Drosophila melanogaster: one gene and its partners. Changing the gene in region 2 together with the main gene of any one other region gives a genetic interaction. Each region holds a gene or a part of one and is shown on either strand. Other genes may lie near its edges.

Region 1 (7,602 bases), on a different chromosome or scaffold from region 2:
CGCCCAGGTTTATCGCTCGAACAACGGCCTGGATGTTCTGGACTGCGCTGGACTGGAGCACCACAACGCGGCCACCACTTCCGGTCACTCAGGCAGCGGCTTCTCCCAGCGCCTCAGGGAACTGGCCGCCTCCGCCGGACTGCTCTCCCTGAAGCCCCGCCAGCCTCTCAAGCCGGTGATCAAGACGCGTGGCTCCCCCGGACCGGAGTTCCCCAAGAAGGTCACCTTTAGTGCCTTTGCCACCGTGCAGGTGGTGTGAAGGGCGTGAACAGTGGGTCTAGCATCTGTTGCATCTGTGCAGGCACAGAGCAAGGTAATAACATTTACTTTTTGTTTTTTAAGTATTTTTAAGAATACTCCAGATCAAGATAATTCTTTGATACAAAATAAACTTTAGAAAAATATGAAATACATTTAAGCAAGCAATGTAATTATACTGGAATAAGAATTGCAACCCACTTTATATTCTGATTTAATATAGTTACATAATAACATAGTATAATATTAAACCAATTGTAAACTGAATTATTCATTGATTCTTTTTCTTCTCTTTTCATTTCAGTATCATCTTGCACTTGTTAACGATTATTTCTTGTTGTTTTTATATTTGTTGCTGTTGTTAAATGTTTAGCCAAAACTATGGAAACCATACACGGAGAAAAATTCCTTAAAACATAAAAAAAAAACATAATAAATTGTTGTGCCATGTCTGTGGCTTGAAATAAAAATGAAAACCATATAGAAATGAATAACACACCCCATAGCTAAAGAAAATACCTCAAGGATCCTAAATAACTGCCCTCCTTTATCTTATTTTATCTGCTTTGCTTAACTGCCCTCCTTTATCTTATTTTATCTGCTTTGCTGTACATTCTGGTAGACTGACATTTTAATATCCTTTCTATAGTTCCTCTCGATCACCCTATCCTAAAACAGTATTTTCCATATTTTCTCATCTTCCGAAATCTTTCCTCACCAACACACCCGAAAATAATTGTAAAATATAACGACTGCAAGTGCAGAAATTCTAAATATTTACTATTAAATTGTAAATATGTACGAATTTTTGCTTATAACAATTAAACAGCAAATATAGTCATAAATATATGTATTCATGTAATATGTAAGTCTGTTTTGTGTATGTGTGTATATATATAAACCATGATTTTGCATTGATAATTATATAGGGTATGAAATCACCTTTCAAATCCACACAAATTTTAATCGAAATTGCTGTATATTGTATTTAAAGTATAATATTATATATATCTTATAAGCCTAATATTATGCATGATAAATAAAATACGATTAAAACCAAACAAACTATTGTCTTTTAATTTGGGAATAAAAACATATGACAAGCACATTAAAAGGGGATCTTCATGGAGCAACTGCTAATGGAAAAGTTTTTCTTTTTGTGATCCACTGCAATTAAAAAGCTGAAGCTCGAAAATGTAAAATCTAAAAGAACGCCCTTTAAATGGTGATCATTGTTCTTTCTTACTTGGTGAATTCATTTCAATTATCAGGTCGGATTTCCCGCCAAAATATAGCAGTCATTTTAAATCGCTGTAACTGTTATGTTAACTATTCGTGTTAACTGTAATCGATCATTTGTGCTTACAGATTAGACGCTAACAGTGCCCAGAGCTAACATAACGCGCTGCCACCTATCGATATATTACCACTCAGAAATTCATAAAATAGAGATGTTACTTAATAATAAAATTGCAATTTGGGATTAAGTTATTGTATGGCTTTTATTTTTTTTAATTTCCTTACATTCTTCCTCTTCTTAACGACACTATCGATATTACATTGCAAAAGTCCGGCAGCGCTTTATGTATCGTAGCTCTGTTATCGATATGTTCCCGCCATTCCCGCTTTGATCATCCTCCAGCCCTGGTCACAAAACAATTTTTGCAAACTGCAGCACAACACGGGGAAATTATTATCAAAGTTAGCCAGTTGCAATGTCTGAATCACCGTGTAAGTTAATAAGATAACTCCCTTAAACATATTTTTTACCGAAATTATAAATTTCCAGCTGAACCGCGCGCTAAGCGCCAGAGAGTAGACAAAAATGGTAGGTTCGCCGCCATGGAGCGACTGCGTCAGCTGAAGGGAACCAAGAACAAATGCAAAGTGGAGGACCAGGTGGACGATGTATACGATGTGGTTGATGAGCGGGAGTACGCGAAGAGGGCGCAGGAAAAGTACGGTGACGATTGGATCGAAGAGGGTAAGTTGGAACTCTGAACTCTATACTTTATAATACTAAATTTTAACTTTTAGATGGTACTGGTTATGCAGAAGATCTTCGGGATTTCTTCGAGGACGAAGATGAGTACTCCGATGGGGAGGAGGATCGGAAGGACTCGAAGAAGAAGAAGGGTGTTGCCCCCAACAGCAAAAAGAGACCACGGGAGAATGAAAAACCAGTAACAGGAAAAGCATCCATCAAGAATCTATTCAGCAATGCAGTGCCCAAAAAGATGGATGTAAAGACCAGTGTGAAAGACGATGATATCCTTGCTGATATTTTGGGCGAAATAAAGGAAGAGCCTGCAGCGACGTCAGAAAAGGCGGAAAAGGTTATAGCCCCAGCGAAAATATCAGTTACGTCGCGTAAATTCGATGCCGCCGCTGCCAAGGAATACATGAATAGTTTTCTAAACAACATCAAAGTTCAGGAGCAGGAACGTAAGAAAGCGGAGGCCAGTAGCGATAACGAGATGCTGGAGCGCATTCTGAAGCCCAAGGCAGCAGTTCCAAACACAAAGGTGGCCTTTTTCTCCAGTCCTACAATCAAAAAAGAGCCCATGCCTGAAAAGACACCTGCAAAAAAAGCCACCGAAGATCCATTCTCCGACAATGAAATGGACTTTAGCTGTCTGGATGACGATGAAAACCAGTTTGATGTGGAGAAGACACAGCAGACCGAGAAGGTTTCCCAAACGAAAACAGCAGCTGAGAAAACATCCCAAAGCAAAGTCGCCGAAAAATCAGCTCCCAAAAAAGAAACAACTGGATCGCCAAAGGAATCGGAATCGGAGGACATTAGTAGGTTGCTGAACAATTGGGAGTCTATATGCCAAATGGACGATGATTTTGAAAAGTCCGTGCTCACCACGGAGCAGGATTCGACAATCTCCTCAGATCAACAGCTTCGGTTCTGGTACTGGGAGGCCTATGAGGATCCAGTAAAAATGCCCGGCGAAGTCTTCCTGTTCGGTCGGACCGCAGATGGAAAGTCCGTCTGTCTGCGTGTACAGAACATCAACCGTGTGCTCTATCTGCTGCCCCGACAATTTGTGAGTATTATTCTACAAATACTTAGTCCTTAGGTGAAGTGTTGTTTCTGAATATATTCTTTTAGCTCTTAGATCCCATTTCGAAGGAGCCCACCAAGCAGAAGGTGACCGTCGCAGACATATACAAGGAGTTCGACAGCGAGGTGGCAAACCAACTGAAGCTCGAGTTCTTTCGATCCCGCAAGGTCACCAAGAGTTTTGCCCATCACGCTATCGGTATTGAAGTTCCGCAATCTTGCGATTACTTGGAGGTTCACTACGATGGAAAGAAACCACTGCCCAATTTGTCGGCTGACAAGAAATACAATTCTATAGCACACATATTCGGCGCCACCACCAATGCACTCGAAAGATTCCTCTTAGATCGGAAAATCAAAGGTCCCTGTTGGCTGCAGGTGACTGGATTCAAGGTGAGCCCAACTCCCATGAGTTGGTGTAACACCGAGGTCACATTGACAGAGCCCAAGAATGTAGAGTTGGTGCAAGATAAGGGAAAGCCAGCGCCACCACCTCCACTTACGCTACTATCGCTTAATGTTCGCACCTCAATGAATCCGAAAACATCGAGAAACGAGATATGCATGATTTCCATGCTGACCCACAATCGTTTCCATATCGACCGCCCTGCTCCACAGCCCGCTTTCAATCGACATATGTGCGCTTTGACTCGCCCGGCGGTGGTTAGTTGGCCTTTAGATTTGAACTTTGAGATGGCAAAATATAAGTCTACCACAGTGCACAAACATGACTCAGAGAGAGCCCTGTTGAGTTGGTTCTTAGCTCAGTACCAGAAAATAGATGCAGATCTCATTGTAACCTTCGATTCCATGGATTGTCAACTAAATGTAATAACCGATCAAATTGTAGCCCTGAAGATTCCCCAATGGTCTCGAATGGGGCGACTGAGGCTGAGCCAATCGTTTGGCAAGCGATTGCTGGAACATTTCGTCGGCAGAATGGTTTGTGATGTAAAGCGATCTGCAGAGGAGTGTATAAGAGCAAGATCCTATGATCTGCAAACGCTATGCAAACAAGTACTGAAGCTTAAGGAATCGGAGAGAATGGAAGTGAATGCCGATGATCTGCTAGAGATGTATGAGAAAGGAGAAAGCATTACCAAGCTCATATCGCTCACCATGCAGGACAATTCATATTTACTAAGGCTGATGTGTGAGCTCAACATCATGCCGTTGGCGCTACAAATCACTAATATCTGCGGCAATACCATGACCAGGACCCTTCAAGGAGGTCGTTCTGAACGAAATGAGTTCTTGTTGCTGCATGCCTTCCACGAGAAGAATTACATAGTGCCGGACAAGAAGCCGGTTTCTAAACGAAGTGGTGCAGGAGATACGGATGCTACGCTTTCAGGTGCAGATGCGACGATGCAAACCAAAAAGAAGGCAGCCTATGCTGGTGGCTTAGTGTTGGAGCCCATGCGTGGTCTCTACGAGAAGTACGTTCTCCTCATGGACTTTAACTCCCTGTACCCCAGTATAATACAGGAGTACAACATATGCTTCACCACCGTCCAACAGCCGGTGGATGCAGATGAGTTGCCCACCCTACCCGACTCGAAAACGGAACCTGGAATCTTACCCCTTCAATTGAAACGCTTGGTGGAGTCGCGAAAAGAGGTGAAAAAGCTAATGGCAGCGCCTGATCTTTCGCCGGAACTCCAGATGCAGTACCACATTCGGCAGATGGCCCTGAAGCTAACTGCGAACTCCATGTATGGTTGCTTGGGTTTCGCCCACTCCCGGTTCTTTGCCCAGCACTTGGCTGCTTTGGTCACCCACAAGGGCAGAGAAATCCTCACGAACACACAACAACTCGTGCAAAAGATGAACTATGACGTTGTTTATGGAGACACAGATTCCCTGATGATAAATACCAACATAACCGACTACGACCAGGTCTACAAGATTGGTCACAATATTAAGCAGAGTGTAAATAAACTATACAAGCAGCTGGAATTGGATATCGATGGAGTATTTGGCTGTTTGCTCTTGCTGAAGAAAAAGAAGTATGCCGCTATCAAGTTGAGCAAGGATTCCAAGGGAAACCTGAGGCGTGAACAGGAGCACAAGGGCCTGGATATAGTACGTCGCGATTGGTCTCAGCTGGCTGTAATGGTGGGAAAAGCCGTTCTCGATGAAGTGCTGTCGGAAAAGCCTTTGGAGGAGAAACTGGATGCAGTGCATGCCCAACTGGAGAAGATCAAAACTCAAATTGCAGAGGGTGTAGTACCGCTGCCACTGTTTGTCATCACCAAACAGTTAACTCGGACTCCCCAGGAATATGCCAATAGTGCTTCATTGCCCCACGTCCAGGTGGCCCTTCGTATGAATCGCGAGCGTAATAGGCGGTACAAAAAGGGCGATATGGTGGACTATGTGATCTGTTTGGATGGGACAACAAATGCTGCCATGCAGCGAGCATACCATTTGGATGAGCTCAAGACCAGTGAGGATAAGAAGCTGCAGCTGGACACGAATTACTACCTGGGACACCAGATCCATCCGGTAGTCACGCGAATGGTGGAGGTGCTGGAGGGAACCGATGCGAGTCGCATCGCCGAGTGTCTGGGCATGGACCCAACCAAGTTCCGTCAGAATGCGCAGAGGTACTTACTATCTTATTACTCCTTACAAACTCTAACCTAACGAATATTTTGGTTATGTAGAACCCAGCGAGAGAACACCGAGCAGTCGGAGGGTGAGTCCCTGCTCAAGACGACTCTGCAGTTGTATCGCCTGTGCGAACCGTTCCGCTTCCAGTGCGTTACCTGTAAGACGGAGCAGCTGATGGCGTCTGCGTACCGACCGGGTCCAAGCAACTCCCACATAGCCGTACTCCAGCAATGCGCTAAGTCCGAGTGCCAAACGGCACCGATTCAGTACCTGGCAAGCGTGCGCAATCAGCTGCAGCTTTCCATGCGGCAGTATGTGCAACGGTTCTATAAAAATTGGCTGGTCTGCGATCACCCGGATTGCAACTTCAACACCCGCACACACTCCTTGAGGAAGAAATCCCACCGCCCGCTGTGCCAAAAGTGCAGGAGCGGCAGCCTGCTGCGTCAGTATACGGAGCGGGACCTGTACAATCAGCTGTGCTACCTGCGATTCATGTTCGACCTCGGCAAGCAAACGCTGCAGCAAAAACGTAAGTAAATACAATGTAGTTATAAGCAGTATCAAAAACTAAAACAATAGTTTGTGTATAAGAACAAAATGAAGAATGTGGAGTACGAGAGAGAAATATCGACACTAAATAACAAGACACATGAAAGGAAAAATCAGTCGAAATATTTTATAGTTCCCGTGATCTCGACGGATTTCAGTAGTTCTTTATGCTTGTATCCTTGAATTCTTAAAAATTGTTGTAGTTTATATATTAGTTCTGACACCTAATACATATATTTCCCTTAAGATTGGTATCATTAAGTTTTACAGCATTTCATATTGAAATTATATTTTGTCCATATTATCAAGCCACCCTCACACCGGAGCTGGAGCAGGCCTATCAACTCCTATACGAAACGGTGGATCAGCAGTTGCAGAGCTCCTCCTACGTGATCATCTCGCTAAGCAAGCTCTTTGCCCGATCCCTGGCTCAGATGTCCCTGCAACCGTCCGTGGCGCAGCCCCAGATCGAAGCAATTCCGAGTGCTTTGGCGGATGTGGTCTAAGTGTTTAATTAACTAGCCTTTGTTATAAGTTCCATTAAAAATACTACAAAAGAGATACAGAGATACAGTATGGTTAACTAGATGAGGTCACGTGGCGAGGAACTTCTCGAGCGGAAAGTGCCGGAAGGACTCGTTGAATATATCCGTAAATGCCGTGCTAACCAACTCGTTAATCATCGGCTTGATGAAGGGCAATCCCAGCTGCCACATGCTGTTGATGACTCCATCGGCCAGTTGGTTGAGGGGCTGTCCCTGCAGCAAGTTCTCAATGTGCAGCTCCATTCCGCCGATGCGGTCCACCTCCACATGGACCTTGATGAGTGAGCCCGGACCGCCGATGCGCCTAACGCTGGTGGTTTGACTGAGGAAGTAAATAAAGTGAGCGATAGGTTGTCATGTAAGCCAAAAGCTATCAACAATACTGGTGTTTGCAACACAGCTTGGGAAATACATATTTCCATGCAACTCGGTGCCCACCTGTAATCGTAGAGGGTGAGGTTCCAGTGGCCTTTTCTGTTCATCTCAGTACCCAGCATCTTGGCGGCGAACTCGTACTCGCCCTCCAGACTTTTGTCGGGGAAATACTGAGTGTAGACG
Region 2 (5,171 bases):
TCTTACATACATACATATATATATTTATATACATATATACATATATACATATATATATATGTATACAGAAATGCATGTTAAAAATATATGCATGTGAAACGAAAAAAACAAAAGTTCTTAGATGTTTTGTTCTATGATCATATTACAATGATACTTTCTTATTATTGTGAGAAGGAAGTATTTGTTTATTTGAACCCACCTTTGCGAATGTTTATTAAATCAACAAATATAAGCATTTGCATTGAATCACGCTTATTGCAGTAAGCACCATAAGTGCACGTTGAACTTTTAATCAGAATACATTATTTTATACACAATAAGCACGGGTTTAAAATGTAAATGCTGAAAAACATCTAAATATTTACAAAATTAAGAAAAGCATCGCGCTTACAAACTAGTTCCATGCAAACTGAACTGGTTAAATTGAGCCATATCAGCTGTTTTATCAAGTTCCTTCGAAACGATAAGCTGAACCACCAACAAATATTTTGTATTATCGATTCGTAAATTGATATCGAAATGAAAAATCGATTATTTAGCGGTTTCTTTAAACGCTGCATTACATATTTGTATTTTGGAATGCGTTTTTTAAGCTCTAAATTTGTGCAGCGAGCCTTTTCAATTCTTAACATAGCATTTGAAACTTCACAATAAATTAACGCCACACCTATATGTATATATTACTAAAACGTTTAAGCTAACTATAACTACTCAAAAGTGTTCTCCTCCCGTTTAAGGGCACTAAAGAAGTCGGTGTTGAGTAATTTGCTGGGATCAACTGTCACAGCCGACTTCACAGCCCTTTGGTCATCCGCATTCTTGACAATGCGTTTCCATTCGGAGAGGTCGTTGACTGGATTATTGGGCTTGGCCTCCAGATGAAGGGGTTTCAGCATGAAATGGGCTTTAACCAGTTGGTTTAACAAACGCACTAAATGACAGGAAAATATTTAAAAAGTTAGCAACGGAAAATATGGAATGTTGTTAGGTCATTTACAATGTATTGACTGAAAACCAAGCAGGTTCGCATGCTCGCTCCACCAGTTGCATATGAGGCTAAGGTAATGCTTGGTCGTCTCCTCGGAGTCGCGAAACAGACAGGTGAGGTAATACTCGTGAAAGACAAGGGACAGAAGGTGCACTGCGATGCGGGAGATCTCGCCAACTTCTTCGGTGCCTAAATAGAAAGCACAAATATTGATTCGTGTCATTGATCATATGAAAATGATTTTTTTTTAGCTCAAACGCACCTGCTTTCCTGCTGTGCAACATCCATTGGTGCATCACCTGGAAGACAATTGTTACCGCACTGAGGCACAACTTTACATAGCACTCGCAGCCTTTTCCTCGCTGCGTTGTACTTGAATTTGAATTTTGATTCGGGTTCGAAACAGACGCTGATGTCGATCCATTGGAGACCGATCCCTGCACAGCTCCTGTGGAGTTGAAGCTCAGACTGGTGCCTGTTTTCATCAGAGTACCATCGCTGGAGTCCTCGTCGCCATCGTCGGCAAAGTAAGGCAGCATTTCAAGTATGAAATCCGGTGGGTTTTTGAAGCACTCGAACGCGAATCGCACATGATTTCCTCCGATCTTGAGCAGCAACTGAAAGTAGTCCTGCCGCAGAGGAGTTTCACTAAAGAAGCATAGCTCGAGTAGGCCCGCGTAGACCTGAAGTAAACAGGAGTCGGGACCAAATCGATAAACGGAGCGAACGCGATCCGATACAAAGCAGTCCTTGGGACTATTCACACACATTTTATCCATAAGTTGGGGATGTCTAAGGCAGCTTAAAAAGCAGGAGCTAAGCTCAGCAAAAACCCAAGGACTGGGACGAGTAAAAACTAACTGCTTAAGCAGATCGAAGAGTAGCTCCTCGTTATGTTGAAGAAGGGCATTTTCTTGTAGGAGGCTATTTAGGAGTGAAGTCAAGGCTTCCAGCAATCCAAAGTGTTGGCCGACCTCGTAGGAAAATCCTAGTTTTGTGATAGCTTCAATAGCCATATCTAGCAGTCCCAGATCATTTTCTTTCCACTCCGTGAGACCTCTAGAAATCCTTTCCTCTCGCCGGCAAATCAAAGCCAAGGTAGCTATGAAGCGACGCAGCGGAACAGCCTTTTCGTTATCATACAAACAGCTCTGATGGGTCAGGGAAATGCGATGAACTTCCTCCTCTAGGTTGTGGGGATTGTAGGGATACAGCATGCAGTTGTGTGGAAAGTCCAAACTTTGAGCATACGAAGCAAACTCCGTGAATACCTTGCCGACCGACGAGAGTATTCTTGGCAGGAGGTTATCCACAGATTCCGGCTTTGCCTGCAGCCGAGCGTAATGAAGTAGCAGTTGCTTTAATTCCAGTTCAAAATGATTTCTTCGTTTCTTAGTCTGATCCTCATTTTCGCTGTATTCGAACACACTGCCATTATCGGTTTTCAGCCCGGGCACAGATCTGTGTATGTTAAGCCTATTCAAGCGAAGTGATAAGCGTTTCTCCAAAGGATCTGGAGCAGCCTGTAAAATGCTCATGCTGGAATTCATGCTTCTTTCATGGGCTTTTTGCTGTGTCTTCAACTTTGAGAACTCGGCGTTCTTAATCTTCAACTCGATGTCCTTGGCCGCAATTTGTTTGGCCGCTTCTGCCACTTTTTTGTTGCAATCCCGATTCGTTTCGTCGGCCAAAGCCAGCTTTTCCATTTTGCTAGCCTGCAGCTGCTGGCGCAAGTGCTTCAGCTCATCACGAAGTAAGGAAACCTAGAGAAATAAATATAAATGGATTAGTTTCTGTAAGGTCTAGAATCGGTGTTATAGTTCCACCCCGATGTCCACCTACCTCACCAGACTTGATCTCATTGCGTTCCTTACTGTCGCCCAAATTCTTTTCCAGCTGCGCGTTTTCCCGCTTAAGGGCTTCAATCCTATCCATGAGAAACTTTAGCTGATGCTCCTGCTGGCGGGATTGCGTGGCATTGATGGTCGTCGTGGTCGTGGTTTTCTGCTGAACACTTATGCTGCTGGTAGTTATCCTACTTGTGCTGGTCTTCGGCTCCGGCATCTTTTGTGGCTCACTGTCCATGAGGGTAACGGCCAGAAAATCGAAATCATCATCATCCGCGAAAATCGCATCCATATCCAGGGAAGTAGGCTTCTTTTGTGGCGGCGGTGGCGGCGGAAACATTTGCTGTGTGCTGGTTGAGCCCTGAAAAGTGGGTGCAAATTCGCTGAAGGTGACCTCGCTGTTGCCGATGTCCACCTCTGTTCCGCCCTTCTTTTTCCGCTCCTCCGCCTCGATTTCCGCCTCCGCCAGCTGGGTGGCCATCAGGATGACATCGTCATCGTCGTCCCAGAGAATCCCATCGAAATTGTTCCTCGGTGGACTGGGTCGCGCTGATCCGCGGGTAACGCTAACATCCAGGCGCGGTTTCTTGCACCGCGCGAAGTCTTTCATGGCAGAAAAGCGCTTGGCCATGGTTCCTCCAGTTTCCGCTATATTTCGTTACTTTTTGGCCATGGAAAGTCGTAGATTATTTTGCCGGTTTGCTTTGTTTATAAAATGTAGAGCTCAACTAGCGTTGCCAGATGGATTTGATCGCAACGATGGATTTGCCCAACCAAAATAGAGATTATGTTTCGAATCCATGTTGCATAGAAAAATACTACATTAGGATTTACTGCAACAAAAAGCCAGTTTTGTAATATCGCTCTTTGTTATTATGCTGGTTTTTTTTAAGCGCCGATAGAAACCCGCTACAATCACAGTTTCAAAATCCGATTAATATTGAGCAAAACCAAAGTCATCTGGCTACACTCAAGTCTATCGACTGCGGTGTATCGGCATGTGGTGTATCGACTCAGCTTTCCCATTAACCTCAAAGGAAAATCAAAGAATTCTGCGGAAATTCTAGCCCAAAACTAAAGGACTTACGGGGAAACCAGAACCCAGCGACTTCGGTCGAATTTTCGAGGTGACGGGCGGCGCGAATGGAACGCCATGCCAGCGAAGAGGATGACGGTCACCACAGCAGCAGCTTCGACCATCAGTGGAGCCAGTGGGTCCACCACGAATAATGGTCAGTCTGGTGGCGGTGCACGCCCACTGGAGACGCTAAACGGAATGACCAGGCTGACCCCCGCCCGCGACTTGACCCTTGGTGGGCGCGGCGCTGGGACAGCCAGCAAAAAGGTCTTTGCTCCCAATTTGAATGCTGTGCGCAATAAAAATGCGTGAGTTGTGGAATGGCCCAGGGGGAGTCATTCTTTTCATCATCTCATTTGATTCACAGCAATGTCAAGACATCCAAGGACACCACGCAGCCAAGGAGCGGCCGCAGAGGTGGACGTGGCAACGGCACTGGAGCAACACGTGGTCGAGGTGGAAATTCCGCTGGCGGGGGCAACTCCACGCTCATCCAAACCCAGGGACTCTTCTCCGAAGGAGCAGGCGATGTTCATGTGCGAAGGTCCACAGGAAATGGAACGGCATATGCACGGGGCGGTGAGGAGGTGTCCGTGACCAGGAAACGGGTGGATCGCAAGGACGACAAGAGCCAGGCCGAGCGGATCAAGGAGCTCTTGGGCGAGTCGGACGCCAGTGGCGGCGAGCTCAGCGAAGAGGAGGCTAACAAGACTGAGATGGCACTCAGGCCCATCCTGCTAAAAGAGGGTACGTTTTACAAGCACTTTTTGATGCACACGGGCAGAAGAAATTCATGCTTTATTTGTTTATAAACGTTAGGACTCTGGGTCACCCAGAAGACACCGATTGCGAAGCAAGAAATCGCCAGTTCAACCTCAACACTTAAGGGTAAGGCGCTAAGCTTTAAAAATGGCATAATCTAATTTGATTTCGCTCCTAGACACTTTGGCAGTGGCCCAGCATTTGCAACAGCTGCATGTGGCTGCCCAGGCAGCCAGTTTAGAGGAACCTCCGCTGCAGTACGGTCGCTACCCACGCACCATTGGTAACTTTCTGGACTCCAGCGAAGCGCAGATCTTTCTCATGCAACTGCCAGATGTGTTGCCATGTGTGGGCGACGATTCCGAAGATCCGGAACCGTCTAAAGGAGATCATCAGGCCACCAGTGAATCGGAACCAGCAAGTCCTGCAGACAAATGCTCAAACGGACCCAAGGGCAGTGTACTACGGCAGCTGGAAGAAGGGCAGATCGGCAAGA
Region 3 (4,576 bases), on a different chromosome or scaffold from region 2:
GATTTCAAAATTATTTCTGTTTTGGTTACGATATAACTCCTACCTTGGTCACAATAAGCACATCCTGTGGATGCCAACGCATCGTTACCTTTACTATGTGCTCGAATGCTTCATCCCGGTGCGAATTGTACGCACAAAGACCAGCCAAAATATTAAGGCACAGACGCGTTATTGTTCCATGATCTGCATCTACAGATCGCTCCCTCTGCATGGCTAAAATATTCCACTCTTCAATTATTAAAGCGATACGTTAATTGAAAACTACATTACAATGCAACTTGAGAGCAGCGCCAACAAATTCCACCAACATTTCAATGGGTTGCCTTTCCAAATAATCGAGTAAGACTAAATTCGTCCTGAATACATCAAGTACATAGATTTCCAGACGTAAAATCTCTGGTAAATCGCTCTTATCTAAAATCTCAGCTCCGTTCGCCTTGAGCTGGAACTGAAATGGGTATTAGAAAACGAGTTTTTGAAAGATTATTCATTTGGCACCCACCTCAATGTGGCTGAGATATAGTCCAATTCTTTTTATAAGTGGACAGCCAGTATAGGTATCTGCATCGAAAACCTTGTAATGCAAAAGCCTTTCCATTGTGCAGATCAACTTTAATAGACTATTCAGGTTTTTTATTATTGCCGCCGGTTTGTTCTCCTTCGCGATCTCAAAGTTAAGGCCTCGCATTAGGCAATCATAATTGGATTGAATCAAACAATTCTTTGTTTCGCTCTGAATGTGAGTGATTGACTCAAAAGGAGTGGCGTAGTCCTTGTCAAAGCAAATAAGCTGTTCGTTGTACTTGTAGGCCAAAAGATTGCGTTCGGTGGAAGGAACAATGTGTTCTGATTGAGAGATCTGTCGCAATTGCTGGACATCCAAAAAATTTATAATGCTGATTGCAAAAGTATCCGCCTGCAACTGGGCATCAATACTGTCTATATTGTGTATCATCTGAGCGGCGATGAATCTATCCGCACTTCCGTATGCCCAAGCTATGATGGGTTCTAAGTCAGCGGACGCCTTATCTTGACCACATTTATCAGCATGGATGAAGATCTCTCGAATCGTCGCTAAGCATTCGTTGCGCTTTAGCATTTCATTCGAGATAATATTGTTAAGCAGCGTGCTGGACAACTTTTGATTTAGTTTATTGTGTCTGATCAGCATCTGCAGCACCAATTGCTTCTCCTTGATCTCCTCACTGTTTGTTGTTGTCTCTGATATGAGCTGGTTTGCCATTTGACTCCAAAGCTCACCCAGAAAATCCTCCCGAATAGATTTAGAGTGCAAAAGCTCCTGTTCTTTAGTCAAAAGATGAGCCAGGCATAACCGAAGGTTCCGGAGATTTTTCGCATTGCCGTACATTTGCATTATTTCCGCCACGGTGGTTAGCGCCATTTGGTAGTTGGCCACATTTAGGATCACGCTACTCAGCTGAAGTATCTCAGTGAATATCGCAAGCCAGACGTCGTTAAAGGTGTTTTCCTTTTTGTCGATCAGACTAAATATAGTTTCCATTTTATCTGCAGGCTTCGGGATCTTTTTCGGCGCATCGCCTTCCCCATTTTCATCAGCCTTTTTCGTCTCCAAGTGCCAAAGCACCTGCAAATAATAATATAATTAAAATTAAATATATTAAATATTACTAGCTTATGCGACGTACTATATACATAGCCAGGGCAGACATCTTGATGAAGGGGTCAGAAAATTTATTATTGCTCAGTAGTGCGTTCTTGCAGCGAGCCCAGGAATTCTTTCGGATCTCCACATTGACAATAGTTTTCAGCCGCAGTAAAGTTTGCGGCCACTTTTCATGAACAGGCACACCGAGTGTATTAAAGTCACACATATCCATTTTGAGATACATTGAATGGAGCGACTTTGAAACGCACTGAAAGAACAGATTTCTGGTGTCGTCCCGGAACGCATCCTCGTCATGATACTCGCATAGTTTAGGTAGAATCTCCTGCATGTGCACGTTCAATTGGTGATTGTAGTTGACAGCAAGCTGAAAGATTGTTGCAAAGTTTTTAACATTATCTAAAGATATAATAAGAGTCCTACCTCTGATGCAAATATTAAGTAGACGCGAACAATCTCAGTTTTTCTGGCTCCAAAAGCGGAGAGCGCAAAGCTGCTGAGCTCCGGCAGATATTCCACTAGATCCACGTGCAGCTGAACCCGGTCCTTGGCCAAACTGACGGTTCTTGTGATGCATTTCAGTATTCTGGTTCGCAAGACCTCGTCCATATCGACATTCAGTTCAAAAAGATAGGAGAGAATCCCTGTAATACATCATCAAATTAAAAAAAAGAGTCTCTTTTGGGCCAGAAAGTAACTTACTACTGTATTCGTTAATTTTAAGGTCGCGCACATAGCTGACCGATGAGTAAATGCCCTTTTCCAGCAGGCTCAGAATGCGGTCGCCAAAATACTTGACTACCACTCGCATCTTGATGCCATCCTCGAATGCACTAAATATGCTTGTTTTGGCCAGGAAATGCCCATTTCCGGAGGTCTGCGACCCCGCTGGAAATCACAGGTTAGCTTTAATAACGTGTTTAAGTGTTTAGGAGTTACCTTCCAAGTTGAATTGTGTGATCTTCTCGAGGACATTATCGTACAAGTAGTTTTTTCCCGCCAGCGTTTTGAATACTTTCTCGTTGACATCCTCCAGATTTCCAGCTTGCTATCATTAGGTTAACAATTAAAATGGAACTGATTGTTTAACGATAATGGCTAGGAACCTTAAAGAGAGCCTCCTTCGACGCTTCAAAGATTGTGGTCCAGGATATATCCGAAGTTTTGCTAAGAAACAACTTATCCAGATCCTCTCGGCAACTTGAGAGCTTTTCATCCAGCTGTTGGATGCCCTTGTTTCGGCTGGCTGCCTTCCCCGACTGAAGGTCCCCGAGTATCCGCTGGATTTCGTTTAGAAGTGCACTCATCCTGGCTGCCCGGCATAACCTGTTGTAATGTTGTATTAATTATTAAACTAAACATAAAATGATCTCTCAAAATGTACTTAGAGTGACCTCTGCCAGAGCGCCAAAAAATACCACGATCAATAAGAACAGCACTGTTGTTAAATGGCTGGGCAGCCGTGTGCGTCAAATAAGTGCCGATGGAGAACTAGAATAACCTTATATAACGAAAGATTTATAAATAAAAAAATCCCATGTTCCATATTCCACTGTTCCTTCATTAATTATTCCTATATTATGAATTATATTCATTAAGAAAGGAATAGGAAATGTGGTTTTTAAAGTAACAAGCTACGTTCAGCGCTTCTACTACATATTAGCCAATTTCTACGACTTTACAGTTTCGGTGTGAACGTTCTGCGTCAACATTTCTGGACTTCTGTGTGAAGCGCTTATTAGGGTGGCCAAGAATTTTGCGGTTACACCCCTGGGAATTTAGTACTAAAATTGTTGATGGCTTTGGTAACACTTTTGCTTGTATATAAAAGGCATTCGCAAATTTTGTACGGGTGTAATTCAGAAAAAAACGCCAGCCAGTTTGATCGAAGGTGCGGCAGATTAAAAGTGAAGTAGCAATTAAACGGTTATATTTTAGTACTTTCTAAGAAACAACACACAAGGTAAGCGTTTATTTACATTTTAGTATTTATTTCGTTGTTAAAAAAAGTGCGACCACCTCGATTAAGTTTGCCGGAAAATAATTTGAAATCAAACCACGTGTTTTTTGTAGCCCCTTTACTATTTAATCAATACTCTCAAAGAAGGCAAGGTTTCTCGAACTTTCGACCCCAGTGAGTAACGCTTCGATGCACACTTACATACATAATTGCAAAGGTGCATCATAGAGCGCCTATTAATTAGGCAAATTAAGATTCTAGAAACTTTGGAAGTTCTGACTAATTGCATATTGATGCCTAATGCTTGATTGTGATTATCTGGAATATTCCACTGGAAAACGTGCCGCTTCCCACTCACTGCAGTCACAGTCTACTTTCGGTTGAGTGAGTATGTGTGAGAGAAAACTTGCGTCATCCGTTGCGGGGTCTTGACATTGCTTGTGATTTTTATTGTTTCTGTTTCCAATAAATCAATGTCCAAGTTACTCATCGTAATTGGTAATTTATTTTGAGTGCCATTGCTCTTTTGCTGGAATATTCCAGCTTGGGAAAAATGTGAGGCTTCCCCCCCCCCCACACAACCACACAAAAATGCGTGCATGTCTGATCATTTAATTTTAATGCTATACTGCTATAGAAACATGTTGGATTCCCTTACATACAGTCAAGGCATATAAACATTGTTTATAAATAGAACTAACATTCATAAATTTATACATTATGCGGCCTTTTATTAAATATACTTAGCTAAAAAAAAACACGTTGCCAACCGGCATTCAAAGTGCGGGCACGTGTGTTTGTGAGCGGGTAAAACCAACACACGCAAAGCCGTCCCGGACACAGTGGTTGTCTCCCTCGCTCGCACATACGAATCACCCTCCAAAATGACCTGGCTTCAGCAGCGTGGTTTACATATATTTAAGTATATGCATGTGTGTGTGTGCTTGTGAGGGCGCGTGTGTTTGCGTTTT

Evidence for each region.
Region 1: of mus304 (region 2) and PolA1, changing one enhances a phenotype caused by changing the other (phenotypic enhancement), as found in Drosophila melanogaster (one study listed by BioGRID).
Region 3: of mus304 (region 2) and tefu, changing one enhances a phenotype caused by changing the other (phenotypic enhancement), as found in Drosophila melanogaster (2 studies listed by BioGRID).

The regions. Positions count from the first base shown.
Region 1 is NT_033777.3:21,666,017-21,673,618, reverse strand, and holds PolA1 (DNA polymerase alpha subunit 1), read left to right. Parts: upstream 1-1,868; 5' UTR 1,869-1,973; coding exon 1,974-1,989; intron 1,990-2,047; coding exon 2,048-2,242; intron 2,243-2,295; coding exon 2,296-3,314; intron 3,315-3,379; coding exon 3,380-5,940; intron 5,941-6,000; coding exon 6,001-6,479; intron 6,480-6,808; coding exon 6,809-7,005; 3' UTR 7,006-7,057; downstream 7,058-7,602. Other genes in the region: CG31176 (uncharacterized protein), read left to right, coding at 1-259; Jhbp16 (juvenile hormone binding protein 16), read right to left, coding at 7,093-7,366, 7,483-7,602. UniProt on the Drosophila melanogaster protein: Catalytic subunit of the DNA polymerase alpha complex (also known as the alpha DNA polymerase-primase complex) which plays an essential role in the initiation of DNA synthesis.
Region 2 is NT_037436.4:18,108,210-18,113,380, reverse strand, and holds mus304 (mutagen-sensitive 304), read right to left. Parts: upstream 3,568-5,171; 5' UTR 3,467-3,567; coding exon 2,831-3,466; intron 2,752-2,830; coding exon 1,251-2,751; intron 1,178-1,250; coding exon 998-1,177; intron 932-997; coding exon 708-931; 3' UTR 534-707; downstream 1-533. Other genes in the region: Polr3D (RNA polymerase III subunit D), read left to right, coding at 3,989-4,221, 4,281-4,660, 4,733-4,801, 4,854-5,171. UniProt on the Drosophila melanogaster protein: DNA damage checkpoint protein required for chromosome break repair and for genomic stability during development.
Region 3 is NT_033777.3:15,239,192-15,243,767, forward strand, and holds the start of tefu (telomere fusion), read right to left. Parts: upstream 3,046-4,576; 5' UTR 3,030-3,045; intron 2,972-3,029; 5' UTR 2,953-2,971; coding exon 2,752-2,952; intron 2,694-2,751; coding exon 2,585-2,693; intron 2,534-2,584; coding exon 2,348-2,533; intron 2,290-2,347; coding exon 2,069-2,289; intron 2,013-2,068; coding exon 1,668-2,012; intron 1,607-1,667; coding exon 503-1,606; intron 449-502; coding exon 271-448; intron 214-270; coding exon 44-213; intron 1-43. UniProt on the Drosophila melanogaster protein: Serine/threonine-protein kinase which recognizes the substrate consensus sequence [ST]-Q. Required to suppress spontaneous apoptosis of proliferating cells during development, and for their proper differentiation. Required for female fertility.